Linked DNA regions of Saccharomyces cerevisiae S288C. Changing the gene in region 3 together with the main gene of any one other region gives a genetic interaction. Each region holds a gene or a part of one and is shown on either strand. Other genes may lie near its edges. The genes, in order: FRE3, MDS3 and CMR3.

Region 1 (3,758 bases), on a different chromosome or scaffold from region 3:
TGTAGAAAAACATCCCTGAAGAGTTCTCTAGATCTTATCATCAGCAATAAAAGAATGCCGTTGTGACACTTAAATAGTCATATCACATGCGGATACACTTCTAATACACTAGTCTTCTTTCACTGCCCTTTATTTATAAGACTCATGTCCAGTCTATTTTTTTTTTAAAAAAAAAGACTTTCAAGCTTTTTACAACTTGATATTCTAATATGAATAATGAATAATGAATAATTTAATTAATTGTTTTGTTTAAATTTTGTTCGGTCTCGGCTATATTTGGAAGAAAAATAGCCAGTACATACTTTCTACCACTTTCGCTCAATTATCAATAAAAACATTTAATCGAAAGTCATTCAAACTGAAAACTTCAAAAGTCATTTTTTTATTGCTTCCCATTCCAATCACAATTATGCTTTGAGCCAATTTCAGTAAAACTTTGAAAATACGTAGGCGCATCGCATCGCCTAACTTAATTCGCGGTTTAACTAGCTTCCTCCACCAGTTCCATAAAAAAATGATGGATCAGTGCAAAAAAATTTTATCATAAATCTGATGAAGTATACTAAGCTGAATAAGCTGTAGGCCTTATTTGCTTTTTTCATACCCTTGGTTGGTACGACAGTAAAGATTGGCAGGTTCGGAGATACAACTTTTTTTGAGGCTTAGAATGCTCGGCCTGCATAAAATGGCGTTAAAGTTGCGCACAGGCCCCGGAAACCCTGCCAAGGAATATTACATAAGTTGCAACATCTTTTTCCAATACATGGTTAGAGAGTTTTTAATCGTTATACTTTTTTCTCATTTGATTAAAAAATATAAAATGAATTGCGAAATTCTTCTAGAAATGCGTTACTATTTTACGGTTGGCATTGCAAGATTATTATAACTACGAAGCAGTGTTGGAAAATATCATCTGGGAAGAAATTCCTATTTCTTGGGAAGAATTACATGTGCATAAAAAGATAAAACCCTCGATCACCCAAAATTGACTTTGCGACTAAAAAGTGATTTTTTCAGCATATTGCATTTCAAAAAGTCGTTGTTTAGCACAACTCATAGAAAATAAATACTAGTATGATTCGGGAATTATTTATCAGTTAATTATAGGAGTACAGCCTTTTATAGAGTTGGCGAAGATAGCCAAAAGATAAAAGCTTTGACGTACGTCTGTAAAAAGTGCCTTTTCTGATCGAATCCAGTTGCTCAGATATCCGGGAAGTTGTTAGCATTCATTGCTTTTCTGCACTATATCAGCATATGAATGCTTTCAGTATTTTAATTTTACCCTTTCACGAAGTACGCCAGAAAATGATTGGAAACGTACTCAAAAACAAAGCAGGAAATAAGCGACGAAAATTTTTCATTTCAATTAAGAGGTACTGAGCGGCTACTTAACTTTTTCTGCAGTAAGTAATGACAGAGTATCACTACAGAATTCTGTGCCTCCGGTCTGGGAATGCAGCTAGGGAGACAGCACCCTTTTGCTAATAATGCGCCGGAAATGAAACATTTAGATAAAATCTAAAGTTACGAAAACAATACACTTTGAGGGAAAGATATCAGAGAATTAAAAGCTGCAAAGAACTATGACAAATTAACCGCTTTGTTGACCCTAGATCATAGTTTACACTGCGAACGGGATAGTTGCAACCTCTTTTGTAAAATGCACCCATATCTCATTTTGCCTTTATTTCGGGTGTATAATAGGAGAAAAATTTGAATGGTAAAGAATAAGTCCCTTGCGAGTGTCAAGAGAAGCACAATTATTATTACTATTGGTGACGTGATTGAACTCGAGAATTTTCCTGGACCGATATTTGAGTTTTACGTGGAATGTGGGTGTACCTCATCTCAAAGAATTGGCGAAAAGCCAAACTTCTTAATTCTAACAAAAGCTACTGATTCGTTGGCGATGAAAGACTCTTTTTTTTGGCTGTCAGAAGCTTTCATCTTTGACATAGATGTACAGAATTTGATCAATTGTTTATATTAAAAGATTCGTCGCAACTTATATAAGGTGGCAAGAGAATGATTAACTTCAATTGCTGATGAACGTTCTCAATTCAAAAATTATAAGACACAAGGAAAACAATGTATTGGGTCCTCCTTTGTGGTTCTATTTTGTTATGCTGCTTGTCAGGAGCAAGCGCCTCCCCTGCTAAGACAAAAATGTACGGCAAGTTACCACTGGTTTTGACAGATGCCTGCATGGGAGTTCTCGGCGAAGTAACCTGGGAGTATAGTAGTGACGATTTATATTCCTCACCAGCATGTACATATGAACCGGCATTACAGTCAATGTTGTATTGTATTTACGAATCATTGAATGAAAAGGGTTATTCCAATAGAACCTTTGAAAAAACCTTTGCTGCTATCAAAGAAGACTGCGCATATTACACTGATAACCTTCAGAATATGACTAATGCAGATTTCTATAATATGCTGAATAATGGAACAACATACATAATACAGTATTCTGAAGGTAGCGCGAATCTTACGTATCCAATCGAGATGGATGCCCAAGTGAGAGAAAACTATTATTATTCTTACCATGGTTTCTACGCCAACTACGACATTGGTCATACTTATGGTGGTATTATTTGCGCCTATTTTGTAGGTGTTATGATTCTTGCCAGCATACTCCATTATCTAAGTTACACTCCGTTTAAAACTGCCTTATTTAAACAAAGACTTGTAAGATATGTGAGAAGATATTTGACAATACCTACTATCTGGGGTAAACATGCGTCGAGCTTTTCTTACCTTAAAATTTTTACAGGCTTCCTTCCCACACGATCTGAAGGCGTCATTATACTTGGATACCTCGTGCTTCATACAGTTTTTCTGGCATACGGGTATCAATATGATCCTTACAACTTAATTTTCGACTCTCGTAGAGAACAGATTGCTCGATACGTGGCAGATAGAAGTGGTGTCCTGGCATTTGCACATTTTCCCCTAATAGCTCTTTTCGCAGGAAGGAACAATTTTCTAGAATTCATTTCTGGAGTAAAATATACCTCTTTCATAATGTTTCATAAGTGGTTGGGAAGAATGATGTTTTTAGATGCTGTGATTCATGGCGCTGCTTATACCAGTTATTCCGTATTCTACAAAGATTGGGCAGCAAGCAAGGAAGAGACATATTGGCAATTTGGAGTAGCTGCTCTTTGTATAGTTGGTGTTATGGTGTTTTTTTCTTTGGCAATGTTCAGAAAGTTTTTCTATGAAGCCTTCTTATTTCTCCATATTGTGCTTGGCGCATTGTTCTTTTATACGTGTTGGGAGCACGTCGTAGAATTGAGTGGGATTGAGTGGATATACGCTGCTATTGCTATCTGGACTATTGATAGGCTAATTCGAATTGTTAGAGTATCTTATTTCGGTTTCCCTAAGGCTTCCTTACAGTTAGTTGGCGATGACATCATTCGAGTCACAGTCAAACGACCAGTAAGGCTATGGAAAGCCAAACCAGGACAGTATGTTTTCGTTTCATTCCTACACCACCTGTATTTTTGGCAGTCACATCCTTTCACAGTCTTAGATTCAATTATCAAAGATGGTGAGCTGACTATTATCCTGAAGGAAAAAAAGGGAGTAACAAAACTTGTCAAAAAGTATGTGTGTTGCAATGGAGGTAAGGCATCTATGAGACTAGCTATAGAAGGTCCATATGGCTCTTCATCTCCAGTCAATAATTATGATAACGTCTTGCTACTTACGGGAGGTACTGGTTTGCCAGGGCCCATTGCACACGC
Region 2 (3,758 bases), on a different chromosome or scaffold from region 3:
GTAAATCTCTAAAGCGTCTTTACCTAGAACCATGGCATACGGTGGAAACACAGATTGGATAGAAGACATTTCCAAGGGCGGAGCTATATATCTAATGTAGTTTTCAAATTGGGAGGTAGCTGATGAAGTGAAGCTCACCTTTTTTAATGGAGTATCCTTATGCTTCGCAAAATTTTCTATGGGTATTGGTAAAGACGAAGCTGAGATCTTGTGATGGGGTAATTGGATCGTCTTGTTAAAAATATTTACCAGCGGTAATCCAAAAGTGGAAAGATGGTCGAATCTTTGTACACTGGGTGAATAATAATCATCAGTCTTGGTACCCAACAAAATCGTCTGATGATGCGATTTCCAAACAAATACCCTCCAGAATCGATGTTTATTGATATCGCAGTCAGGGCAGGCGGTAGCGACTCGTGACCACTTTCCGGAGTTAATATCGTATATAAAACAATGAAAGTTAGAGGATTGGTAATTTGGATGAAACCCACCGATTATGATATTGAATCCAAAATAGTCACCTGTCGGTGCTAATAGCTCATACGGAACATTCAATAGTTTTTTCGGTAATGCCGGGTTTGAGGGCATTCTAATACCTTGCGATTCAGACAATAGCGGCAACGCCACTATAGGCGAATTCTCCTTTATCTTTGATGAATCCTTTCCGAGATATTCGTCTATTTGATCACTTCTCATATAGAATGCCAGCGCTGGAACGTTGGCCTCATTATTTTCAACTAAAATCGAAAAATTCTGATCCTTTGATAATGCTAATGGTATGCCATTGACATTTGTAGTGATTTCCATCGGTTGTTTGGGTATGGTTTCGGATTGCCAGCAATTCTGTGAGATGTTATAGATGTCTATTTTCTTGACCGGCTGATCCATGTTATTAAGACCTCCGACAATTATTAATTTCGTGTCTCTATTATCGTTATTTTCGTTCTTTACATGCATGGTATGGTTGAACCTTCTCGCTATTTGAGGGTCATCACTCAAAAGCGACCACTTCTTCGTGTTTAAATCCAGTTTCCACAACTCATTGGTAGCAATCAACTCATATCCGCTCTGAGGAGACACTGTGAGACCACCAAATATATATAAACAGCCATCTAAATAACATAAGGAATGGAATAGCCTCTCCTTGAGCGGAGATTCAAGGGATTTACCTTTCTTAATGTCCGTTCTAATCTCGTTTGTGTCATTATCTGCTTTGGCGCTAGAACTCTCTGCCTTTAATAATTCCTCTGTCCTTTGGTCAAAGGAGGTCTTGACTCTGTACCAGGTTCTAGACATCAAGTCTAAGAAAAACGTCTCCTTACTTATCCACTCGTTTAAATTCCTAAAAGAACTACCGTTGTTTTTTTCCTTTGCAAAAAAGAGAATAAGCTCCTTTTGTAATTGCATAGAATTTACAACTGGCAGGTTCAACGGGATGGTTAGACCACCATGTACAAATATATTAGACCTTGTTAGCGTCACCGCTGAACCTGTTCTATAGTCCAGCGTTAACCTTTTCCTGGCGCATTCATCAAACTCGTTGGAATCGGAAGTCAGTGGTAATGGCGGAAGCTTCAAAGGGTAGCAGAAGCAAGTGGATGGTTGTAATAAAGGCATACTACGCTAAAGCAGGTGCAGATTGTTACTTGTCCTTTGGTTTGCACGCGCGCTATGTTATCTTATATATATAGTAAAACAGAAAAGTCTCTAAAGCGCCTTCACCATGTAATGTTTGCAAGTGTGGCTATAGGCACAGGAAGGAGAAGAGTTCTCAAACAATTGTGGTAAACGGACGCTGTGAACTTGAAATAGACTTTGCCAGACTCTGCGCTACCAATTCATCAGAAAGCCTAATCTTGCTTTGAACTTCTCTTACACTCCACGGAGTCTGCCTTAGCCACACGCCAGCCCCTGTGAGCGTCCTCTTTTTTTTTTTTTTCAGAACTTTCTGCCGTGGCTCGCGAGATAGGCAATTCTATGTCCATGATATTGGGTTTTATACATATGTAACTAGTGTTATAAAATAGTTGACAACCAGGCCATGCCAAAAAGACAGAGTGCCAGAGGGTATATCTCGATAATGGTCTTGCTCTTGGTAACCCACGAAACGGCGGCCACAGACCACATCAGGCACAGCGCCATGACCACCAGTTTCACGAGCGACAGGACCCTCACAATCCAGCGATTTTGCTTTCCAATATGGTAGGCCAATGGAAGTAGTATCTGCGAGACTAAGGCATTCAGCACTTGTGGGAATAAGCAATACCCGGAAATGGAGATGTACGAAATCAGCGACACCCTCTGGTGTGGCTTGGTGAGTCTCAGATGCAATGCCATCACCAGCAAAATGAACCAACTAGACACAAATAGGCTCGAGAACAGCGACCGCGCATGCGATACAAATAGAGAATACAATATGATAAACGCAAGGGGCGCCCACAGGTCGCAATTGGCTGAAATGTCGTTATCAGCCGCCCCTATCCCGTCATCAGAGGGGCTAAAGAATGAGGGGAAATGCGGGTATACCACTTGTTTCAGTCTGGAATTAATCTCCACCACATCTCGCTTTAGTGTTTGCAGCACAGTCTCGTCGAGCGTCCCTCTGCTGCCTGAATTCTGCATAGTTCCGCCTATGTTGTCAGCAACACCCCCGGAAGCAGCCAAAGGTGCATCTGGTTCTATGAAGTCGGGCTCAATCGTAGTGTCTTCTCTTCCGTATGACATTTTGCCTGCCCTCTTGTGACATATCTTTCTACAAATATTGCTAAAACAGCTTCATTTGCTATTGTAAAAGGGGACGAAAAATCACTGTGAGAAAATCATCACTCCGGGTAATCCAATTTTCATGAAAAAAGACGCGAGGAAAGTCAGAAAAGTCGTGCAAAACAGCCTGAGAGATCGGGTCGCTTAAACATTTTGACACGAAACTTATAATGAAATAAAAAGCTATACTTGGTGAAACTGCAATCTTAATAGTATCCCTCCGCACAAAAATACACACGCATAAGGATGGCCTCATTTGCTACTAAGTTTGTCATTGCTTGCTTCCTGTTCTTCTCGGCGTCCGCCCATAATGTCCTTCTTCCAGCTTATGGCCGTAGATGCTTCTTCGAAGACTTGAGTAAGGGTGACGAGCTCTCCATTTCGTTCCAGTTCGGTGATAGAAACCCTCAATCCAGTAGCCAGCTGACTGGTGACTTTATCATCTACGGGCCGGAAAGACATGAAGTTTTGAAAACGGTTAGGGACACGTCGCACGGTGAAATCACATTGTCTGCTCCATACAAGGGACATTTCCAATACTGTTTCTTGAACGAGAACACCGGTATCGAGACAAAAGACGTGACTTTCAACATTCATGGGGTGGTATATGTGGATTTGGACGACCCAAACACCAATACATTGGATAGTGCTGTCAGAAAGTTGTCCAAATTAACCAGGGAAGTCAAGGACGAACAAAGTTATATTGTTATTAGAGAAAGGACGCATAGAAATACTGCAGAGTCGACCAACGATCGTGTTAAATGGTGGTCCATCTTCCAATTGGGCGTCGTTATTGCAAACTCTCTTTTCCAGATATACTACTTGAGAAGATTCTTTGAGGTCACATCTCTAGTCTAAGTAAAGCAGGAAAATGTAGTTCATATCTATTTACTTTTGCCTACATACGATTACATACACGATTGGATAACCTGAAGTCGCGAATAATTCTCGGTTTCATACTTTTTACCTTGATCCTTCCACTGTTTTTCCCTGTG
Region 3 (3,551 bases):
AATGAATACCTATTGAATGGATAGAAATTCTGACTTGATTTTACGAGTTATTATTGCTGACATTAGTCCAAAGACATCTCAGTTTTGTTTCCTCTACAACCCAATGAGGAGGCTAGCCAGGGCTGTCGCCCAAAAAAATAGCCAATAAAGCGGCAACTTTCTGTATGTCTTGCATTTTTTCCGCTGACTTGGGAGTAGAGTACAGCTGCGCGGAGTCGCGTATTACAAATCTTGTACTTTGCATTCTGTGCATACGTGAGGAAAAAGCAGCACCTGTTGTGAAAAAAGATAAATTTCTTTTTTTCATTTTTCTATCCTCAAAGGAAAATCTTTTCTGCGAAATTTCTAGCCGCTCTTCAGTTTCCGAAGTAAAGTCGCTGAGGGCGAAAAACAACTTTATTTGCCCACACGCTGTTATAGGCTTCCAGGGAGCAAAAGCGCAATTGGGAATAAGGTTTCCTCAATTGAATGGTTTGCTTCGCCTACAGCATTAACCAGAAGGTAATTTGATCTCTTGTATGTCCGCTAACAGATCTTGTCCATTAATTGTTTATTTTCTTCAGGTAGGCTGAGCCCACTTTGTAGTAGCTCCCTACCATTACTTTTGGCCTTGTAGTTATTGGCTTTGATTTTTTCTTTCTATGACAATCCCGTTGAGCAACCTTGCGAAGGGCTCTTTTTGAAAAAAAGGCGTGGGCAAGATCTCTGTATCCCTTTCTCGGTTTTTTCTTCCCATTCAACAGTAATTGAGTGTCGCTATTTTGACTTACCTCAGTGCCTATTATTAGCATAAGAAATGACCCACATAGTCTGAACTCTAAATAAACCCGAATTAGGAATCAAGTACATTTCATATCCGCTAGGTTTGACAATCCTCCGTAGATAACCTTAATGATACAATGGAAAGGTTATTTTTTATTATTGTCATAGAAGTTGTTACGTGAGCAATATAACACGACGTGAATAGTACGCATACATCTTGTTGTATCGGAAACTTAAAATGCTCATAGATTTTTTGCAGCTTATATTGGTTCTTGTCTCCGTAGGAAACAACGTAATGTAGCCGATAATTTTTTTTTTTTTCGCTCGTAGGCTCTTCAGTAGATACTACTACATAATCACTGTTGTACGCACCTACTATTCTTCCAGGTAACAGTACTACAAAGGGTCTGAGACTGTGCAGTAAACCGATACGCTACAAAATTTCCTTTTCAGCTTTTGCCTGTGATGCATAGCCGCAATGTCAGAGCAAATGGAAATGAAAAGGAGGGCCTTCAAGATTGAAAAAAAGCCCGATTGGAAAATCTTCCGACACGAGGTGCAGTCAAGTACTCATAAACGATACATGTGAAAATCAATCCATATACATCGCGTACGCTCCGTACCTAAAAGTATATCTGGGTTTTGCAGCAATCTTGAGAACAATCAGGTGAGAGATGCCGTTTCTCGGGGTTAAAGAATAAAATGACGGCGATCCCTCTTCTCAGGATCGGGACTATCTCATATAGGAAATATCCTTACGGGAGCATTCCACCTTGAGCTACGAGTGATTGCCATTTACGGTGGGAAATAAGGTTTTCAGTGGATACTGGTTTTGAGGGCAGATCAAGACGATCTGTTTTTTAACTTCCGCTTTAATTCTGCGTATTATTCTGTACAAGAAACTCAAACAACAACAAAAAACAAGATAAAGAATGATGCATCAGGTTCCCGACTTATGTCCCTAAAGTTTCATAAGTAAGAAACCCGCGCGAGAACGTCATTTGAACTACCTTACAGATCTGCAGGTGGCCCGGAAAGGGCAGTCGTGTGCCTTCATCATTATTGTTGTATTCTCTGTGCCTTCTTTTTTTCCTTACTTACTATTTTGCTATATATGTGACTACTACATGTTGATGTTTCAAAATACCTCTTTTATATGCCTGTCAGGGTTTGACAAGTTGAACGAAAGATACAATTGTTAGCTTTTTATTGTTCTATGGCTTCACAATAATTCCTCAAACATTAGTATACTTTTAGTTTTGAGCTTCTTAGTTATAACACAAGTTCATCACCTACCTTCGAAAAATAGCAGTAAACGCCACTAAAGTAAATTACATGAATTTTTCCCTTTCAAAGCAAAGTTCAGAAAAACAATCATCATATACAGACAAGTCAAGATCTCCTAATATAGGAATGTGTACAGTCAATTATAAATCGAACCTCCCCCTTCAAGTGTCCGCAGTTGATCAGCTGAGCACTGGTAAGGGGACTCAATTTTATGGCCACAATAGCTACAAAAATGAACGGGAATGTTATAATAGTACGAAAATAAACTTACCACCAATTTCATCCCTTTTGCCTAATTTTGAAAATAATACACCACCTAACGTAGATTCAAGGGTTCAATTCCCTCCACAGCAAGTTTATCAAAGCATGAATGTTGTACCCATTGTTAATGAGATCTACACCCCAATTTCCATGAACGCAACATCTGATCAATATCCTATCTACTATACGGAAAGTCAGCAACCAATACCACATAGCCAGTCTCCTCATTTGACCTCCTCTGCTCCCTTGATGATGCCAGTCATGGTCCCAACAGTATATAAACCATTGACACCATACGACAAAGAACCAATAACAATTGCCTCCGAACCTAACTTCACTGCAATATCAATGGCGAGTCACCCAAACGCTGCCTTAGAGCTATGCCACGATAGGCCAAAATCAGTCCCACCTGGGTATGGCGTACTTCCAACCATGCAGGAAGCCAGTAACGGCAGAACAAAAAGCGAACCTGGTGCCGTGTTGAACGGTTCAGCAACATTTTCTGATTGGAAAACTGACACCCGAATATCATCCACAAAGCTGAGAAAGCAGTGCCCAGTATGTGGAAAAATTTGTTCGAGGCCCTCAACGCTGAAGACACATTACTTAATTCATACGGGAGATACTCCTTTCAAATGTACTTGGGAGGGTTGCACAAAATCCTTCAATGTGAAAAGCAATATGCTGAGACATTTGAAAAGCCATGAAAGGAAAAGAAACAAAGTCTTAAACACTACATAGAAACAATAGGAACGGAAAGCTTTATTGCAATGGAATTTTTAGAACTCATATTCAAAGGTAAGGCAAAACTATGTATAGACTCTAATAGAATGTTTTACGGACTTTAGAAGCAAGGGAATAAAACTAATTAAGCGCAAGTCACCTTCTTTGTTAGTGTTCTTCCCAGTTTTATATAACGGGAGTGCGTCTTCAAGTTTACTTGGACGCACAAAGACGTTTTTATGTTTATGTATTATTTCGTAAATATATGAGAGGCAAAGAAGATGGATGATGATATAATATGCAAGGGAAAATGCGTAGTTGAGGTATTGGGAAAGTTCCATGTGATCACTTGATGCAAGCCGTGCATTATTTATCAGCAGATCTATTTTCACTTTTCAATTTTTTTCAGGTTGACCCTTCAATATTTTTTTACCTCTTTTTCTAGATATATTTGCAGGGTACTCTCGATGTCCGCAGTTCGTCAAAATGATTATGATTGCCAGTAAGGCCAAGTGAAT

What was found.
Region 1: mutations in CMR3 (region 3) and FRE3 together harm fitness more than expected from each alone (negative genetic interaction), as found in Saccharomyces cerevisiae (one large-scale study listed by BioGRID).
Region 2: mutations in CMR3 (region 3) and MDS3 together harm fitness more than expected from each alone (negative genetic interaction), as found in Saccharomyces cerevisiae (one large-scale study listed by BioGRID).

What each region holds. Positions count from the first base shown.
Region 1 is NC_001147.6:1,053,454-1,057,211, forward strand, and holds the start of FRE3 (ferric-chelate reductase), read left to right. Parts: upstream 1-2,091; coding exon 2,092-3,758. UniProt on the Saccharomyces cerevisiae protein: Siderophore-iron reductase responsible for reducing extracellular iron prior to import. Catalyzes the reductive uptake of Fe(3+) bound to di- and trihydroxamate siderophores.
Region 2 is NC_001139.9:122,557-126,314, reverse strand, and holds the start of MDS3 (Mds3p), read right to left. Parts: upstream 1,618-3,758; coding exon 1-1,617. Other genes in the region: YIP4 (Yip4p), read right to left, coding at 2,017-2,724; EMP24 (Emp24p), read left to right, coding at 3,010-3,621.
Region 3 is NC_001148.4:584,132-587,682, reverse strand, and holds CMR3 (Cmr3p), read left to right. Parts: upstream 1-2,097; coding exon 2,098-3,051; downstream 3,052-3,551. Other genes in the region: YPR014C (uncharacterized protein), read left to right, coding at 165-494. UniProt on the Saccharomyces cerevisiae protein: Probable transcription factor involved in the regulation of the transcription of genes involved in cell rescue and defense, as well as cell cycle and DNA processing.